4 linked regions of the Schizosaccharomyces pombe genome follow. The protein of the gene in region 4 interacts with the protein of the main gene of each other region in a pairwise test. Each region holds a gene or a part of one and is shown on either strand. Other genes may lie near its edges.

What was found.
Region 1: the proteins of SPOM_SPBC1773.16C (region 4) and utp4 interact in a two-hybrid assay, tested with the Schizosaccharomyces pombe proteins (one large-scale study listed by BioGRID).
Region 2: the proteins of SPOM_SPBC1773.16C (region 4) and tim10 interact in a two-hybrid assay, tested with the Schizosaccharomyces pombe proteins (one large-scale study listed by BioGRID).
Region 3: the proteins of SPOM_SPBC1773.16C (region 4) and pcf11 interact in a two-hybrid assay, tested with the Schizosaccharomyces pombe proteins (one large-scale study listed by BioGRID).

Annotation. Positions count from the first base shown.
Region 1 is NC_003423.3:3,702,934-3,708,133, forward strand, and holds utp4 (U3 snoRNP protein Utp4), read right to left. Parts: upstream 3,353-5,200; 5' UTR 2,942-3,352; coding exon 809-2,941; 3' UTR 523-808; downstream 1-522. Other genes in the region: sac11 (inositol polyphosphate phosphatase), read left to right, coding at 3,799-5,200. UniProt on the Schizosaccharomyces pombe protein: Involved in nucleolar processing of pre-18S ribosomal RNA. Required for optimal pre-ribosomal RNA transcription by RNA polymerase I together with a subset of U3 proteins required for transcription (t-UTPs).
Region 2 is NC_003424.3:947,346-950,213, forward strand, and holds tim10 (Tim9-Tim10 complex subunit Tim10), read right to left. Parts: upstream 1,308-2,868; 5' UTR 1,237-1,307; coding exon 1,136-1,236; intron 788-1,135; coding exon 619-787; 3' UTR 531-618; downstream 1-530. Other genes in the region: Ragulator complex subunit Lam3, read left to right, coding at 2,301-2,335, 2,384-2,702. UniProt on the Schizosaccharomyces pombe protein: Mitochondrial intermembrane chaperone that participates in the import and insertion of multi-pass transmembrane proteins into the mitochondrial inner membrane.
Region 3 is NC_003424.3:2,255,173-2,261,077, forward strand, and holds pcf11 (cleavage and polyadenylation specificity factor), read right to left. Parts: upstream 4,015-5,905; 5' UTR 3,650-4,014; coding exon 3,500-3,649; intron 3,452-3,499; coding exon 1,685-3,451; 3' UTR 1,426-1,684; coding exon of another isoform or gene 763-1,425; 3' UTR 505-762; downstream 1-504. Other genes in the region: ribonuclease H2 complex subunit Rnh201, read left to right, coding at 1-396; adenylate kinase Adk1, read left to right, coding at 763-1,425; mpf1 (meiotic PUF family protein 1), read left to right, coding at 4,771-5,535, 5,607-5,905.
Region 4 is NC_003423.3:317,176-322,412, forward strand, and holds SPOM_SPBC1773.16C (transcription factor), read right to left. Parts: upstream 3,391-5,237; 5' UTR 3,306-3,390; coding exon 1,518-3,305; 3' UTR 519-1,517; downstream 1-518. Other genes in the region: dal52 (dipeptide transmembrane transporter), read left to right, coding at 1-280; gor2 (glyoxylate reductase), read right to left, coding at 4,487-5,237.

The sequences.
Region 1 (5,200 bases), 3.4 Mb from region 4:
AATGGGGGTACATAAAACTGGTACTACTAAACAGATTTATCTAAGTTGTGAACAAATTTCAATAAACAAACGAATGTATAATCTCATCGGCAAGAAAATAATTTTTTACGTCAATCACTTATTTCACTTCTTTATTTTATTTTGAATATATCAAATGTAATCAAGTTTAGAAACGTAGACGGGTTCATGTATGAGCTTTCTTCGTTTCATTTGCATATATATCCTTTGTAAGATTCTGTTACTTTGAATATGTTTTCTTTATAAGTTGTAGATGGTAATTGCTACTCTTTAAATACAAGCTGTCTTCTACAATAATTTTAATTTTACCAGAGTATTTTTAATTATCCTCATGCGAGTAATTTTCTAATTATGTGGTGTAACAAAAATAGCGTTCGGTTAAATTTTAGTTCGCCGTGTTAAGTCTATTAATCAAAAAATTTGGGTTCGTAAAATTGTACGCCTATCTGCCTAGAATCAAGTGAAACCATATTACAGGCATAATGCTCCAATCGATAATGGGAATAAACAACTCAGACTTTGGAAATTCACAGCTACATTGCCATAATCATATTGTGGATGGGTGTGTCACCTTGAAATGTTTTATTGATAAACTAACTAGCAACTAATCTATGCTTTTTATCGGAAAAAATAAAAATAAAATAAACTCCTATAATAAAAGACCTTTTTGTACAAAATCATAATAATACCACCCTATTCCAGACATTTTTTTTACGTAAAATGACATATTAAAACCTCTTCGTTTTTTTTAGTACGAAGAAACTCCTCCATCTTCATACATAATACATATTTACGAGCCAAATTTGTGCTCATAAAAGCTTGCTGGCATTGATTTACTCATCAACATATCGGCGATTGGTCGTTCGACTACCAGCAATTCAGAGTTTCCTACAGAGCCTACAAGTAGCATTGGTCGATATTTGTGAGTAATCCAGAAACACCTAGAATCCCCTGTTCCATAATTTGAAATGCCGTTCGAATTAGCATTCGCCAATTTTTTGTCATTCAGATTCCCGTCAACTGTTGCATTCATTTCAATTTTACGTTTTCCGGCAGCGCGAGGCGCTGGTAATTGAAGATTAAGATCGAAAAATGAAACCCAGTTGGCTGACCAAATCCAGAATCGACTCGGATGTTTAGAGTCGAAAAATGCTCCGAATGCCTTATCTAGAAGTTGCGAAAATTCTTTGGGCATATTTGTAGAATTGTTTTTTGACCATTCAGATAATTTACGGGATTGAACATCAAACTCATAAACTTGATTTCCCGCCGTAGCAACAGCTAAACGGCCTCGTACATCTGGACGAAAAGCCATTGCACGAACATAAGTGTTAACTCGTGGTAACTCTGAATATGTTAAATTTGACAAGGAGTAGCAGAAAATATTTCCAACTGTGTCCGCAACAGCAAAATAATCTCCATCCGAAGATACCGCTATACTGCAAATACCATCACACATGCTGCTTACATTGCTTCGCTGACGAGGAGCAATTTTCTTGCTAGTGGGTTGTGATAACTCGAAAACTTCTAGCTGACGAGAATCCAGTCGACTTAATTCAATGAGAAATATCTCGGAATCGTTACTAACAAGGATAAGCTTGTTCTTATCTACAGTAAAACTAAGCAGGCTAGCACCAATATTTGAAAGGAAGGAGTCCTCAACTGTTTCAACTTTCACATTTTCATCGCTATACTGTAATTGATAAAGCTTCGTCCTCAAAACGGAAGAAATTGCAATTAATTCCCCATCAGGAGAAATTGCTGCATGTGAAATATTTTCTTCGTCAGCCAACACAATTTTTAATAAAAACCTATAGCCAGGAGACCCAATTCTCCAGAGAAGTACTTCATGATCATTCCATAACATAAAAAGCCTTGCTTTCGGTGCGACCGCCATGCGAGGGCGTTGAGGAACGGCAGATATCATCCTGTGATTCTTGCGATTAAATTGTCGAACAGGAATTACCGCAAGCATCATATCCATACCACCGCTAATAAGAACATCCAAACTTTTACATTCAAAAACGGCCATACATCGAACATCATGAGAATGGAACCTTCTAAAACTGTTGCTGACCCATTCTCTTTTACCTCCTTCGCGTGAGTACTGAATAGTTTTCCTGTCAATCCCTGAAGAAAATACCATATCTCCGTTAGCAGAAACACCCAAACACAAAGCATCAGCCAAATGTAGTTTGAACGATTGGCTTAATGTAAAGAATTTTCCATTCCAAAATTTAACAGCACCTGATGAATCGGCACTTACGATAGTGCCATCCCGTAAACTTTTCACGGCCCAAATTAAAGCAGCTTCTCCTTTTCGAGCACGATCTACTTGCATTCTAGAAATTATAGCGGAATTTGGAGTGCTAAGATCCCAAACTTTGATAACACCGTCAGCGCAACCACCAACAAGATGATCTTTTGTTTGAAAGTCGAGCGAAAGGATACGAGACGTTTGGCGCATCAAAACTCGTTTAAATTCGATGACACCTGGGCCACCACTAATGTCAAATAGAACGCAACTTCCATCATCACATCCAACAGCTAGAGTTTTAGTTTCATCGCATATAGCGATTGACCAAATAGCTCCTGCATTAGAGTCTTGGTTTACCAATGGTTTTCCAGTATGTAAATTCCATTCAGTAATAGTAGTTGAAAATCCTATACTGAATAATCGTAGCTCCTCTTCACCGGTACTCCAAACAATCCCTTCAATACTGCGATCTACACCACCGTATAACACAGTTTTTAAGCACCAATCGTTTCGAGGGTTCCATATTTCAATGTTTCCGCTAGCACGTCCAACAGCGAGTAGTAAATTGTTAGGCATAGAATCATTCTGACCGCTTTTATGGGAAAATGCCATTGCAGTAATAGCTGAAGGGGTATAGTCGATAAAGCGACAACGATGAATATCCATGTTGCTAATTAAATTTAAATAAAAGAAAGAACGAACAGGAAACTAATCAGAAGTATGTATGGAAAAAATTATTTTTTTGCACCAAAGTCAATTTCCCAAATCAAACCCAAAATATCGCCAAAGTCGGCTATTAGCTAGATAATTGTAATCCTTTTTTTGAAAAAAATATAAAAGAAAAAATTTAAAAGGTTTCAATGGAATAAATCAACTATGTTTTCGCTCTTTTTTTCAAAAATGAAAATTTTGATGAACGAGTGAATCCTCAGGATTCAACCACAAAACGAAGATCACAGTAGTATAGTGATTTCAACGTGAAGAATAATCAAAGTATCTACTATTAATATTACAAATATGTATTATTCTTCTAAAGCACTCTTCAGAGTGTCCTTTGGAACTCCGTTGGTAAATGGTAGTGGAAGAAATTTGTATTTACAAGGCTAGCACAACATGACCAAGAGCATCTACCATATTTAGGTGAAAGTGCGTTAGCAGTTATGTGTACGGCAATTAAGTTTTGAAAGTATTCATGTTAATTATTTTACATTTTAAGATGTCAATGAGATATTTATTCTCAATATTTAAACAAACACCAGATACCCTAGGAATAATTCAGCGACCTTCAATATGATCATTGTAGTATAATATTTTATTGAGGATGGATACTTACTAGCAAATTTAGTAATTGATAAATCATAGTGAAAATGTCATTTATTCTATCTACGATAATACCACATGACTTAGCATAGAAAACCGTATGTTACAGTACAGCAGTAAGCAGGTTCGTTGTCTGCCGTCTACCAACCATCAACTTCACAGATCTTGGTATCTATCCTACAAAAACTTTAGAAAATTTCTTCATGGTTCAGTTTGAAGCAAACGAGAAGCAATTTAAGCTTCGTCGAGAAGATTGTTGTTTAACAATTGACCGAGAAAGTGGTGCAGTTAGTTTTGAGCCGGACGAGTTGAAACCAGTTGCCCGCAGCAAAGAAAATAGTGTCACATTGTTTGGTTCAATCAAGCTGAAAAAAGATAAATATCTTATTTTAGCTACAGAAAAATCTAGTGCAGCCCAAATTTTGGGACATAAAATATATCGTGTTCATAAATTTGAAGTTATTCCCTATCGTAACCTACTAGCTGACGATCAAGATGAATTGGATTTATACAATTTGTTACAAAATCATTTGAAAACAGGACCTTTTTACTTCTCGTACACATGGGACCTTACTAACTCCCTACAACGTTCTTGTACGGATGAGGGAAAGGCCTCACCTATTCTTCGAAGTGATAAACGATTTTTTTGGAACGAGTTTGCTAGTAAAGATTTCATTGATCTTATCGGTGCCCATTCTGAAGTATCACTTTTCATTACGCCAATGATTTACGGCTTCATCACTTCTGCTTCCACTATTGTTAAGGGACGAACAATCACGTTAGCATTAATATCTCGACGCTCTAAACAACGCGCCGGTACTAGATATTTTACCAGAGGTTTAGACGAGAATGGAAACCCCGCCAACTTCAATGAAACTGAGCAGATTACTATCGTTTCAGACGAAAAGTCAGAGGTCACTTATTCACATGTTCAGACCCGCGGTAGTGTTCCTGCTTTTTGGGCAGAGGTTAATAATCTTCGCTATAAACCATTGATGGTTGCAAATTCTGCTTCAATGGCTGCAGCCGCTGCAAAAAAGCATTTCGACGAGCAAATATCCATATACGGTGACCAGGTTGTAGTTAATTTGGTCAACTGTAAAGGACATGAGCTTCCTATTAAACAGTTATATGAAAATGTTATACGTCGTTTGGATAATCCCCATATCCATTATCATTATTTTGACTTTCATAAAGAATGTAGCCATATGAGGTGGGACCGGGTTTCACTCCTTTTAAATGAAATACAACCCGAGTTAGAAGAGCAAGGCTACACTACATTAGACACTCAAAAGTACCGTGTTTTATCTCGTCAGAATGGCGTTGTACGCTCCAACTGCATGGATTGTCTTGATAGAACCAATGTGGTCCAAAGCTGTATAGGTCGCTGGGTGCTTACGAATCAACTTCGTAAATGCGGAATTATAGGTGCTACCCATCCCCTTCGTTCCGTCATTCCTCTTGATAACATTTTTTGCAACATTTGGTCTGATAATGCAGATTACATTAGTCTTTCTTATTCTGGTACAGGAGCTTTGAAAACCGATTTTACTAGAACCGGTATTCGAACTCGAAAAGGCGCTTTTAACGATTTTGTTAACTCTG
Region 2 (2,868 bases), on a different chromosome or scaffold from region 4:
AGGAGGCGCTGCATGAGGCATCTCTTCCAAGAAGTTCACAAAAACGACAGCTTCCGTGGGGGCTAATAGCGGGACACTATTTCCTAAAACATAAGTTATTTACATCTCCTAGAGTCTAGAAAACGATAGCGTAATGAGTAATTTTCGGCTAAAACAAATGACTGCTAAATCATGGGTTGAATAGTAAAAGGTTTCAGTTTGAGAACGGGTGATTAATAATAATAGCAACAATTACAGATGGGAAAACTTGAGGGCTTGGTGGAACTTTCGTTTGAAATACGATAGAAAGAGTGTCATGAAAGAGTTAATAATTAGTATTGCTTCGTTTGAAAAAGAAGAGAGAAGTTGATCATTCCATAGATTATAGAGTATCGTAAATGGTTTAACACGACATCAAATAAAAAAGAACGAAATTATTTCTGTATGAACCACCATATCACGGATGTGCGCACAGGTTTCATTCCATTATTCAAAATAATACTATAAATTAATTTTATTTATTGTATAATGAGAATCCCAAAAGTCGTAGAGAAATTTTTAAAGCATTCCATCCGTAACATAGGATCGGACATGACCCATTTTATACTACAATGGTAGATGTGTTGATAATCAAAGGGCTCATGGTGTTGGATTTTCTTGACCACGCTTTTGCATGTGCTGTGAAAGACTCTGATTTGCTTCAAAGTATTTCGATACACAACGGTCAATACACACGCTTTCTCCTTTCGTTAAATCGGCTTCATAGTATTTAGGAGATATGCACTTTTTATGACAGGTCATTACAAGTCTAGAAAGGAATGTTAGCGACTTTTGTAGAAAAATTTTTAGAAATTCGTCGGATTGGTCTTTTCATAAGATAAAACAATGTAAATGTATTAAAGAAGTAAACAAATACTTATGTAAAATTGGAATAATATTACGTTGCCAAAAATTAGTCTACCAAAGTACCATAGTTTTTAAAAAAGCTAGGTATGCAGTACAATTGACTTAAACGAGTACAGCACTACTTTCAAGGTATGTACTGAGACTTTGTAACTTTTTGACAACCCTTCGAATACTTAAATTCACGATGAATTTTGAAACGTAAAAATAGACGGCTGTAAATATCAATCCTTAGCTTCTCTATTAAGCATACCTATTAAAGATATCAGACATCATCTCAACCTCTTGCTCAGCCATAGCAATGTTCTGAGGATTAATGGTCTGATTATTCTTTCCGATTCCAAACATAGACATTTTTATAGATTTATGGCGCAAAGATTGCTTTCAATTTGGTTTTTTTATTAAACCGATAGCACTGTTGCGGTGGAATGAGAGTAGGCATATTGTTAAAGCATCTACCTTAAAGTAGCAGTGAGCTTTCAAGTAACATCCTTAGTTTTTAGGCTACGATGTACCATGAGAACTCCACGTTGTCCGCTTAATAATTATCAGTTTGTAGTCATTCTCTATTTCTTTAATTTCTTAAAACTACCTGCTAATTTGTTCATAAAAAATTGGACTGCTTTTTCGTTTCCGTGTGGACTGCCAAATGTTCGTTGACAGGAATGCGGAAGAACGAAGTTTATTGGCATTTGTAACTGACATGGCTCCAGGGGTTTTTTGAACGTGTTTATAATCAAAATTCCGCAATAATGCCTCCTACCTATCCTTGCACTCAACTTTGTTTTGACATTAAATACTAGAAATTCCACAGTCAATACAACTCGTACTTTCAGTGTAAATATCCACAGCTATTTACTACGCAAGTTAGTGCAATTCCATATGAGGATATATGAAAGGACCAAATATCGTTTTGTTAACTTGTTCTATTATATAATCGGCATATCATTGTATGCAGTGGGAATTTATGCACCGGGATCGCCAAATATAATAAATATTCTATTACAGAGGTTTTATGTATATTTTTAACAATTGGGTTTATCTCTAATCACGGGTCGACCAAACGTAACAAAAGGATGCTGGCAGAAATAATATAATATAAGTGATTTTAATGAAACCGTCAAAAACTTTGCTCGTATATATAACGAGGCATAGCATACTCTCTTTATGTAGTTTTAAGGACTTACAGCAGTTCGTAATATCACCCTGTCAGTACCATAACCATATGTGCGCAGTACACGTAACTTGAACAGAGGAGTATTAGACGCAATCTTTGCGATACATCAGAAACCCTCAGCTTACCGCACAGACAGTCGTTTTGTTTTGTTTTGTTTTTTAATTTGTTGGAAGAAGAATTTTGGCCTAATTCAGTAAGAAAAATAGTGCGAGGCATCAAAAGTAAATAAATCGAGTCGAAAATGTCAGTTTCACAGCAATTGTCCGAGTTAGCATCGTAAGTTCTCAGTAAAGTAAATTACAACCATACTAATGAAAAATGAAGAAAGGAAAAAACTGTTTTATACGTTGCTGATCAAAACTTAGAGGAGGTGCTTTGTTTTCCAGAATCTACAGATAGGACAACCTTGGTTCAGCTTACGGATGCTTGTCTACATGCTAATGAATTGGCTAAACATTTAGAATTTGGAAAGCCATTATCTATCACAAACCAGTACTCACGAGGTAGTTGTGTGTTGCAAATAGCTAAAGAAAAAAAGGACGGTTCTGGTATGGTAGTTTCTACGACCATTGCTGCTCATAATGCATTACGCGGAGCTCTTAAATGTAGCAATGCTTTGGATCAAGTTATTTCTCAACTTTAGTTGCTGTATATTTACTCCTACTATCAATGAAGTTCACACCTTATTTATTATGTCGGCTCCTAGTATCTGTCCACGGCGACGTCGACGTCCAAGAATATTTTCATTTTAGACTATAAAAAAATATCTTTATTATTATGTACTGTAGCAAGTATAATATTCGTTCGTA
Region 3 (5,905 bases), on a different chromosome or scaffold from region 4:
TTTCCTCAAGCGAAAGTCACTGTCACTAAAAAAGCAGATTCCCTTTTTCCCATCGTGAGTTTAGCTTCTATCTGTGCTAAAGTTACTAGAGATATTCAACTGGAATGCGCTCGTGAAAGTATTCGAACTGAGAACTGGGGTTCTGGATATTCTTCTGACGCTCGAACTACCGAGTGGTTAAAAGTAAATGTCGATAAAATTTTCGGATGGAAGGGAGACATAGTTAGATATTCATGGAAAACCGCTAAGGATTTACTAGAATTACCTTCCAAATCACAGTCTTCGATTGAAATAGATTGGCACGAAGATGACGATACTCCTACTTTGAACTTTACACAGAAAAAGAAACCGAATCCGGCTTCTCGTTCGTGGTTTGGATCAGAGTTTTATTTTTAGTTTAGTTACTATACTCTGTCACTACTTTTGCCTAAGACTAATTGTGAGAGTGATACGAATTTACATTTATGCTTAAAATCATTAATTGCATTGCTTCGTGCTTTTGGAGCTACGTAGAAAACCTTTATTAGCATTTGGTTATAGATAAAAATAATATAAATTTATTGTTCTATTTACCCCAGGCTTCTGCTCTGTTTATTGAGTTTGGTTTAGCACCAACAATAATATAACGACTTGTTAAAGTTCGCTATTATAAAAATTAGGTGGTCTTCTTTTACTTCTCAGTCCGATTTTAGACTACTACCAAATACCGCTTTGTTGTGGAATCTCGTTTTTTTTTTGCATAGATACCCAATTTGATCAAATATGGCTGGCATGAGACTTATTTTAGTTGGACCTCCAGGTGCTGGAAAAGGCACTCAGGCCCCCAACATTCAGAAGAAATATGGCATCGCCCATCTTGCTACTGGTGACATGTTGCGCTCTCAAGTAGCTCGTCAAACTGAGCTCGGTAAAGAAGCTAAGAAGATCATGGATCAGGGTGGTCTTGTCAGCGATGACATTGTCACTGGTATGATCAAGGATGAGATCCTCAACAATCCTGAGTGCAAGAACGGCTTCATCCTGGACGGTTTCCCCCGTACTGTCGTCCAAGCTGAAAAGCTTACCGCTCTTCTTGATGAACTCAAACTTGACTTGAATACTGTCCTTGAGTTACAAGTTGATGATGAACTTTTGGTCAGACGTATCACTGGTCGTCTCGTCCATCCCGGATCTGGCCGTAGCTACCACTTGGAATTTAATCCTCCTAAAGTTCCTATGAAAGACGATGTTACTGGCGAGCCTCTTATCCAACGTTCCGATGATAACGCCGATGCTTTGCGCAAGCGTTTGGTCACTTATCACGAACAAACTACTCCTGTCGTTGAGTTTTACAAAAAGAAGGGTAAATGGGCTGCTGTTGATGCTGCTCAAAAACCTGAGCAAGTTTGGGAGCAGATCGTTGCTATTCTTGAGAAGGCTGAGTAAGTATTTTTTTTAGGTTAGAGCTGAAGGGCCCCTTTCTTTTTCAATTACTTAGATATTTTTGCCTAGTGTTCGTAGGATATAAATATAGAATATTCTGAACCCAAAAGTTTTCGGTAAACTGTTTAGTTTGCTATACTACTATAAGCAGTATGTAAAACTCATATTTTAGCTGATTATATAGAAATATTTTTTGTATGTACATGATTCAAATTTATTGCTAAAATCCGAAAGCTCGAGAAAAATGAGGTTAAAACAAAACTCACTTGCTTTCTTGTTTAATAACTTTAGAAGACATTGAATCCATTGAATCGTCTCTCTCTTTGCGTTTACCAAGTGCTTGAAGGATACTTTGAATATCAATGCCTTGTAACAAATTTTGAACATCAGGTTGAGAGTCCTTCGAAGCGTCACCCGTAGCATTTTTAATATTAGACGAAACAGCTGCTTCCGCTAAATTTTGTGTACTAGTATTTGTGTTTGAATGTTTGTTTTCTGACGGGCGTACTTCTTGCAAACAAGTCGCATGAAATATACGGCCTTCCTCTTCGACTGCATTCATAAAGACCCAAACTTCAGCTTCCTCATGCCAAACACTTTGGAATTTTTCTTGACATATTGGACAAGGCTCGGACGCAGCAATTGGATCTAAGGGTGTCAATACATATTGTGACCTAACGGATTCCATTTGCTTTTGACGCTGTTCTTCGATTTCCTGAGCAGTCTCTGTAATTAAATCTTCCTCTTCTTTGCTATTGACCCATTCTTCCTCCATCACAAACCAACAGCGATTAATCCCATGAAGGCTACTTTCACGAATTCTCTTATTGATCCGAAAATGCCAATCTGAATGTTTGTCCAACTCCTTTCTACTTTCAGGATCATTTCCATAACGCCTACCACAGTTTGCGCATTGGTTAGAATAATTCTCATATAACAAAGAAGATAGCTTGGGCCGAGGAGTAGCGAGCGAAGATTTAGAAAGGTCAATGTCTGCTGTTAGAGACACAGCTTCAGTACAAGAAGCTTGTGGACCTTGAGACTTACCACCAGCAGATGGCGGAACCAACCCTGCAGCTTGCAGATTAGCAAAAAGAGAATCTATACTAGACGATTCTTCAGGCGTTAACGCGTTCGCGTTGTATAAGGATGCCGGCGGCCCTGAAGATAACGAATACTTGTGACTTTGAGGACCTGGATGGACATATGAATGAGTGAGTGGAGGTTGCGAAGATACAGAAGCCGAATACGCAGAAGGAATTGTAGGAATGGTAGATGGAATAGAAGGTTTCATAAAAGGAGTCGAAGAAATAGATGATAATGCAGAAGGCACGGAGGGAGCAGACGTAGCAACAGAACTCGTTGAAGGAGAAGCCGGCTTCTCTAATTGTGCCAGCTGGTTTTTTATAGCCAGCAATTGGTCATAAGGTAGTGCGGAAGAAGACAGCACATTTTTGAGTTGTAATAGTATTTCAAACCGCTTTTTAGCCATGTTGTCATAAGGATTTTTAATAAATCTAGCTTGTTCTGTAACAATCATTCGGTTAACATCAGATAAAAGAGAGTCCAGTGTAATAAATCCAGGAGAAGGACTGGTGCCCGAAATATGCTGAAAGCCAAATGGAACAGAAGGTAAAGACGGTTTGTACGAAGATGCCGGATCGGAAAATGAGGAGTAGGAGTTAATATTAGCGTCAATAGGAGCAGAAAATGATGAAATTGAAGTATTAGCAAGTAAAGGGCTCTGATGTCTCAAAATTGTTGATTTGTATTTTAGTAATGCGTTTTCAATTTTTGCTGTAACTATGGGGGAAAATACGGGCTCCAAAGAACTTGAATTCGGTGGACGTTGTTTCCAAGTAGCTAATAATTGATCCAGTTTTAAGCGCAGACGGGGTTCTACTACGGTGTATGCACTCATAAATGTCGAAAAAAGATGAAGGCCAAAAAAATAAGTATAAGGAGCTCCTAAATTCTTAGAAATAGAATCTAAAAGGTAAAGCGCTGGAAGTTTACAGTTAGGTGGGCACTGTAAATAAGAGTTAGCACATATGTTTCAATCAAGGTTAAATCATACTTTTTGGATATGTTTTTCAATGGCGTTCACGATGCTAATAGCATAAGGCTCATTCTCCTGCGCGATATAAGTAAGAGTATGGATGATAGGTTTACTGTTAAACGTTAAATCTTCTAATGCACTTAAGTAATCCAATTCCACTAAATCCATTTTCTTCTCTTTTCTGAGTTTAGGATAATGTAAAGCTAAACAAATCTAGCTATAGTCAAGTATGATAAATTATCTAACCGATACTGTCAAAACCAAAGTTTTCTTTTCTCAAAAATATCTTTTAAAACAAAATATTGTACACAATGATAAAATATTTACTTTTTAAACACACACACGCAGACTACAAAACAAAATTGTAATCGTGAGAGTCTCAAAAAACTAAGGATAATAGAAAACACCCGATATATTAGTACTGGGATATTTTCAATGCATCAGTATCCTTTTTCAATAAAAGGAAACTCTTTCTTTTAAAGAGAAGTCTATGGGACAAGGCAGCGTTGCTCGTAAGGAAGTTATTCGTATGTGATACATCTAATAGGTTATGTATTGTGTGTATATCATTCTCAGATTACAAAATATGGTGAAGCGTGCTAATGCAAATAGCGTATTTAAATTTACCCATTAATGTATTAACCTTTTTATAGTACTATTTAAAGTTATGGACGAGAATATTAACTTATAACTTATTAGCTTTTTTTTTTATAACAGTTTCGGCATGCATGGTTTATGGATTATCTGTAAATATACCTCAACATAATTTTAGAAAGTTTACGATTCAAAGAAACTCGTACTCTATTAAGGTGAATCTGATAGTAATTCTTGTCGGGACGTGATATTAAAGATCTAAAAGTAATGGAACCGATAATATAAAACACAAATTAAATGTTTTTTTAGTAAATTACTTTCAATTGTATGAATCATTCTTGAAGTAAAGTCTAACTTGAGTTTTTATATCTAAGAAGGCTGCATACAAAAGGAAAAGTTAAGTATATACATATTATTCTAAATCAATTTATCAATATATTATGAAAACTATCAAAGGAAGTATTGGCTCGTTGTATGCAAGGGAACGTGAAGAATGTTGGTGGTTTGTTTACTTAAAAAGTGTAAACAAAAGTTCCAATCCCTTAATCAGAATTCGCCCAAAGCATATTTTTTGTCCAGGCAAGGGAAGTTGGATAATTCTCTTTTGATCTCAGTAAGTCTTTTTAATTAATTTAGTTTTGCATTTAGGTTTTACTGTTTGATTTTTCTGCCTTTTAAAAGAGCATACCCAAAGTATGCAGAGAGACGAGGAAAGACCCATTGACTTTGGAATGTCTTTAGAACTCCCAAAAACACCAAATGATGTAAACTATGTTAAAAAATTGATTACTCAAATTCTTTATCTCCAAACTCTCGTTTCGGAGCAGCAAAAAAAGATTGAGTCATCTACTCTAGAGGTCCAGAAGAAGAAGGATCAAATAAGAGAATTAGAAAGGATTTATGAGATGAATCCAAAAAGTTTCCTAACTCTTCGACGAACGCCAGCGCTTAAGTTACTTCCTGAGACTTTGTCTGTAGAGCTATCTAATGAAGTAAATCTGACTTCGTCAACCACTTCTTCCTGCGTAAAGCCTTCTCCCTATCTTACAAATTGTAATCTAAAAAACAAGGACACATTTCCCGTTAGCAAAAATAATTGCTCTTTGTCTTCTGGAATTTTTACAAACAGCAATGGCACCAACAATTGTTTTTCGACTCATCCAAAATCCTTGGATGACGCAAAAGACAATGTGGTTCCTAAAAAATTAAATGATACCGATCAGTTTCCTTTATGGAGTAAAAATGAAACAATCGACCCGATAGATCTCGGTTATTCTTTTATTTCGCCGTTCTCAATGTCATTTGCAAGCAAGGGTAATGAAATTTTGGATCCAGGAGAGTCAACAAATAAAAATCTATTTTATGAATTTCCTAATGGAACAACCGAGCCGTTTGAAAAAAACTCTGTGCATTCTGGCAAAGAGACTTTACAGTACAGCGCAACCATAAGCAAATGGAAGGTAAGTCTTTCTTCAAATTTAAGCTTCATAATGTAATTGAAATTCCCTTTCGCTAATGATTCTTTTTTTAGGCTATGATAGAGCAAATTATCTTTCAAAATGATCAGGCAGCCTCACTATCTCTGCAACAGCAACTTAAGAATGAGGATATTGAGGATAATATTAATCTCATTAACACTATTCTTCCGTTTTCTGTTACATTAATGAAAAATAAGTTCGGAAACTTTCTGATACAAAAATGCTTTGAATATAGCACTGAGGCACAATTGCAAAGTTTTAGCTATTTTCTCAAAAAACATGTGAAGGAGTTATCGATTGACGCGTTTGGTTCTCATGTATTACAAAAATCATTAGAAATTTATCCAGAAAG
Region 4 (5,237 bases):
TTTTATGAGCGCTGTTTCCATGATTGGATATTGCGTTGGAAATATGGTCGGCCCCCAAACATTTAGGTCTACACAAGCTCCAAAATACCAAGGAGCTAAAGTATCATTTGTCGTTTGTTATTGCGTTGCTATATTTATTATTATTGCTATTTATGCCGTTAATGTGCGAGAGAATCGCAGAAGGGATGAAAAAAACGAATATTTATCAAATGAATTGAGTGAGGAAGACAAAAAGGATTTGACCGACTTTGAAAATCCCGAATTTCGTTATTCTATTTAATTTTCTATTGATTTTTTTGTTTTTTTACTGTTTTTTACCGGTGTGCATTGATGAAGGAATAATAATTAGTCAATTCTTTTAGTCAAGTTATTAGTATATTGTAAACCTCTTTACTAGATCCCCTATTACCTTCTTTAGTTAATTAATAAATTGGAACTTGTGTTTTTTTCTTAATTATAAAAGAACAGGTCACGTACACTATTCCTAGTTCTATTAGTCTAATTTTTGTATCAAATTGTATACCCGTTTGTTGATTTAAGTGGGAAATATCAATTGGGTATGTTAATAGACATGTAAGCATTTTCGTTTGTACAATGCTGAGGTAGAATTATTCCTGATTTCTTAAGCATCACTAGCCAGAATGATGATGGTTTAATACCCGTTTGACGAAGACCTATAAGTTCTTAAAGTATTTGACATATAATTTTTGTCACTATGAACCTACAAATGAATTTCTGTAACGTCCAACAAATAGCATCGGTTCTTCTATCGATATTTACTTATTATACTGATTATCCTGTCTATTGAAATCCACTGTATTGACAACACTAAATAAGATGATGAGTGTCTTAAACTATGCATGTCCTTAACGAAGATTCGGTCAATTGGTTGTAATATTTTCGACTTCTCTTTAATAATTTACCAGTAGCTAGTTTACTATAATAATAAAAATCATTCCCATGTTGTGGTCCACAATGAATATTAAAAATGGTTGTTTACAGTATTATTGATCATGAATGATAGCATCGCAGACTCAAGCCAGCTCAAGAACTGTTTATCAATAACCGAAAACAACCAATATATTAAAAGTACTAGAAAATTCTAAAAAGTGATGACCTGGGCGTATAGGACAACCAGTCTAAGTAAGCATTAATTTTTCAAATTTACGAAGTCGTTGGCTAATTATAACATAACATATGAGCTATAAGTTATTTCATGTTCTCGCTAAATTGGAAAACCCGCAAACCGTCAGATTAGAAATTGTTGAGATAATATTGCCCGGTGAATGAATCGATCAAAAAATGTTAAAGTGATAATATATATTGATTAAAACCATTATATTGTACATAGAATCCTCACGACATAAATATTTTCCGATACTTGTCGTCAAAGTAAATTAACTTGCCATATATATATCAAGCATGCGCTTTGAAAACAGTAAGCGATAAGAACACGATACAGTAAGCATTCAAATAAAAGGACATATTTAAGCCTTTAAATTATTAGTATATAAATATTAAATTGAAAAACTTTCGCTCAAGGCATCAAATGTCCCAAACACACTTGTATTTTGCAGCGCAAGATATTGCTCAGCCGATTGAATAAAATTCTCAGTAATAACTGATAACCTCTCAGCAAATTCTCCACTGATATCTTTCATTTTTAAAAAAAAAGCATGAATAGAGTATAACCGATCAACGTCCTTGACGCATATATCAGCGTCCAAGTCGTCGTCTTCCAAAAGATGTGAAAAAACCGTCAAAAAAGGTGTAAACGGACAATAAAGAAACAGCCAAAGATAACAAATATTTTTTGAAATAGGATCAAGAACCACCAAAAATCCCTTAATAACGTCAATAGCTGCTCTAGCCGTGCTTAAACAAATTTTTGATCCTTCAATGCTATCGTCCGCGAGATATAAATAAATAAGTGTATTGCAATATGACAGATATATTTCCACGCAAGCTGTAAAAAAATGTTGCTTAATAATATCCAGTTCTTCGGGCAGCCCGTTACCTGCCTTAAGTATCTCAAAATAATGCTTCATTTCAGAAGGAATGGCTCTTTCAAAATTCAATATCTTTGTTTGAATGTTAGATATCACACCCTTTTGACCTTTGTCTAAAAAAACATTATTACTATTGTAGAGCTTAGTCCTTATTTCGTGTTTCAAAACGGTTAACGATATTTCACATGTAAATATTAAATCTCCTTGGACGTTTTCAGCAAAACAATGAGCATAATTAATGTCAGGGTATTTGCACTCAATTTCCAGATCTCCCAAAACGGGAGGGGTTCCGAAAATCAAGGATGTGGTAGTTTCAAAAATGTAGCATACCCAAAATATTCGTCTATGCAATTCTGCCATATCTTGGTCAAGATCTTTGTCTGTACTTTCTTTGTGTAAATTTAAATCCTTAACCATCAAACAAACTTGACCGCAAAGTTTTTTGCAGAGATTGTACAACGACAGATGACTTGCGAACTGAATCATGATCACTAATGCTTGAATTTTTTCGAGTTGCGGTGTGAGAAAAAAGCCAGGTCTTTGAATTAGAAACCAGGAAGTAGCAAAAAAAGACTCCGCCAATTTACTATTATCGACTCTTTTGTCTCGAGATACAGCCAAAGCCAAAATAGCATAGAACGAGACAATCCAGGCACCCTTGACCAAATTCTTGTCTATATATAACTTTTCAAAGCTTTCCATGTACTGTTTCTTATAAAATATAGGCCAATTACAATTGATAAATCTGAAATACCAATCCAAGCATGTTTTAGCCCAATCTTTGTCTGGAACATCTCGAAAGGCACTTTTCCAAGTAGGAAAGCTATGGGGGAATAAATCGTTGCTGCTAAATCCATTAGAAAAAAAATTGGTTCTCATAGTGTATGCCTGCAATTTTGAATCCACGAGAGCCCCTGCACTCAAAATCTGTGAAACCAAAGATGGAAAACCCCCGGGTTTCACTTTCCTCTCTGAGTCCTGCTGAGATCTTAATAAAGAGAAAAGAGCCTCTAGCTTTAATTCGAAATTATCAAAACGTTTATCCAAAGCTTTAACAGCATTTTTCAACTCATTGATTTCATTCTCTTCGTCGTTATCATGATCTGAAGTGCTGAGCGGAGTGTAGAGTATAGGATACCTTTCGTTTTCTTGTACTGCTGCTCGATTGTCATGTTTAACCCGCTTAACATAACGACACTCTTCGCCATATACCATACAATTTTGGCAAGTTAATTCACCATTGCATCTTAGCTTCTTACGCCTGCACAATTCACAAGCATTTCTGATCCTTTTCATTTAAAAATGTGAGTCTTTTTTAGTTATATATTTATGCTTAATCTTGTCAATTGCTGTATATATTAAACACAGACTAGTTGCGAATGAGTTTTGCTGTGGGCTTTACGAATGGTCCATATTGATAACTCAACCTAGTCACACAAGTTTGATAAAGGGTAACCAGTCGATACTATTCTGGTTGAAAAAAAAAAAAAAGTTTAATAGTAATCAATATGAAAGATGTCGGACATTTTGCAGATAATCAAACACGATATTGAAGCAACCCATCTTTAGCTGCAGTTGATAAGATGAAAACTACATAGCTCATTAGATTATACCATTTTAAACATGTCTTTACCGTATAGATATTACGAAGTTAAAAAAAAGAGGCATTTTTCTTAAATTGAGGAAAGAATTAAATTTGTACGTTGATAAACGCCAGTTTCGTCGAAGTGAAATTGAACTTACTCAAGCCAAAACTAGGAACTAGTCTGCCTGACTTTATGGTTCTACGTATGCTTATATAAATAATACGAACTAGAAATATTTTCTTCATCTAATGACTAGTTTATGAATTGATATTGAATGAAATGGAATATTTTATGCACACGCGGGAGGATATCAGTTCGGAACCAAAATATTCTGACTAATACGAACACTTAGATAGACATTTATCGAAGGATCGATTCATGTACCATACCATTTTAAATTGGCAACAGCAGTTTGTAGTAGCCTGATATCTAAAAGATTATAGCAGTTTATGATTTTAGCCTTAGATCTAAGATAATTCGACTTGCCAATTTAATCACCGTTGCTAGCATCCTACTATAAAATTATGCGAGCATGTCTAGTATACGCACGCAAAGATAAATATCTTCCAAATCCTTGAAATGGAATCAGATATTCAATTTTTCTGTAAAGTCCCATTTTGGAAAATGAACTTCTACTTTTACTTTTCCCTGAGAGGAGGAGCATCTTAACAAGTGAATAATAAATAGTTAGCTTTAAAAAATAAGGATGTGATAATCTTTTCAACTATGTAAGTTTGAACAGGCTGACCCAAAAAGCAGCATTCAAAATGACAGAATCTCTCATATGTATTCTTTACAGATACGTGCTCACAAAAAGCAACAACATAAAAATGAATATTTTTTATTAACATATACTTTACTTGTGTAGATGTAAAGGACTTTTGACTTGCATCAACAACCATTCATGCCGAACGGACCGTTGACTGGATTGGTGGGGATTCCTGTATCAAGAAATGTTTCAATACTTGCTAAAACACATTCCTCTGTTTTAGCAACCGTAAAATTGGTATATACACCACAATGTGGTTGGATGGTTACTTTATCGCATTCCAACCAAAATTTATTGGGAGTAGGTTCATTCAAAAACACGTCGAGACCTGCACGAGCAACTTTGCCAGATTTTATAGCCTTGATAAAGGCATCTTCATTAATTATTGCACCACGAGCTGTGTTAATAATATAAACTCCATCCTTCATTTTTTCAAATTCCTTCGTGGATATTAAATCGTGAGTTGCTGGGGTAAGAGGGCAATTAATGCTAATTACATCACTAGAGCTTAGCAGTTCATCGAAAGAAACAAAAGACGCACCTAGTCTTTTCTCTTCCTCTGCCTCCAGGCGATTTCTATTATGATATACAATTTCACAACCTAGAGGAAGAATTTTTTGAGCAAAAGATTTGCCAATTGCGCCCATCCCAATAATGCCCACTCGTTTTCCATATGGATCGTCCGTCAGCGATAAGTTTTGACGCCATTTGCCAAGGCGAAGACTTTGTTCTGCCTCTCGAGCTCCACGGAGTGTACACATAAAGAGCATTAAATTCATATTTGCTGTTCCCTCTGTAGGTCCGTTTGGAGTATTTGCGACGTAAACACCATTTCTTGTAGCCCAGTCGACATCAACATTATTGTAACCAGCA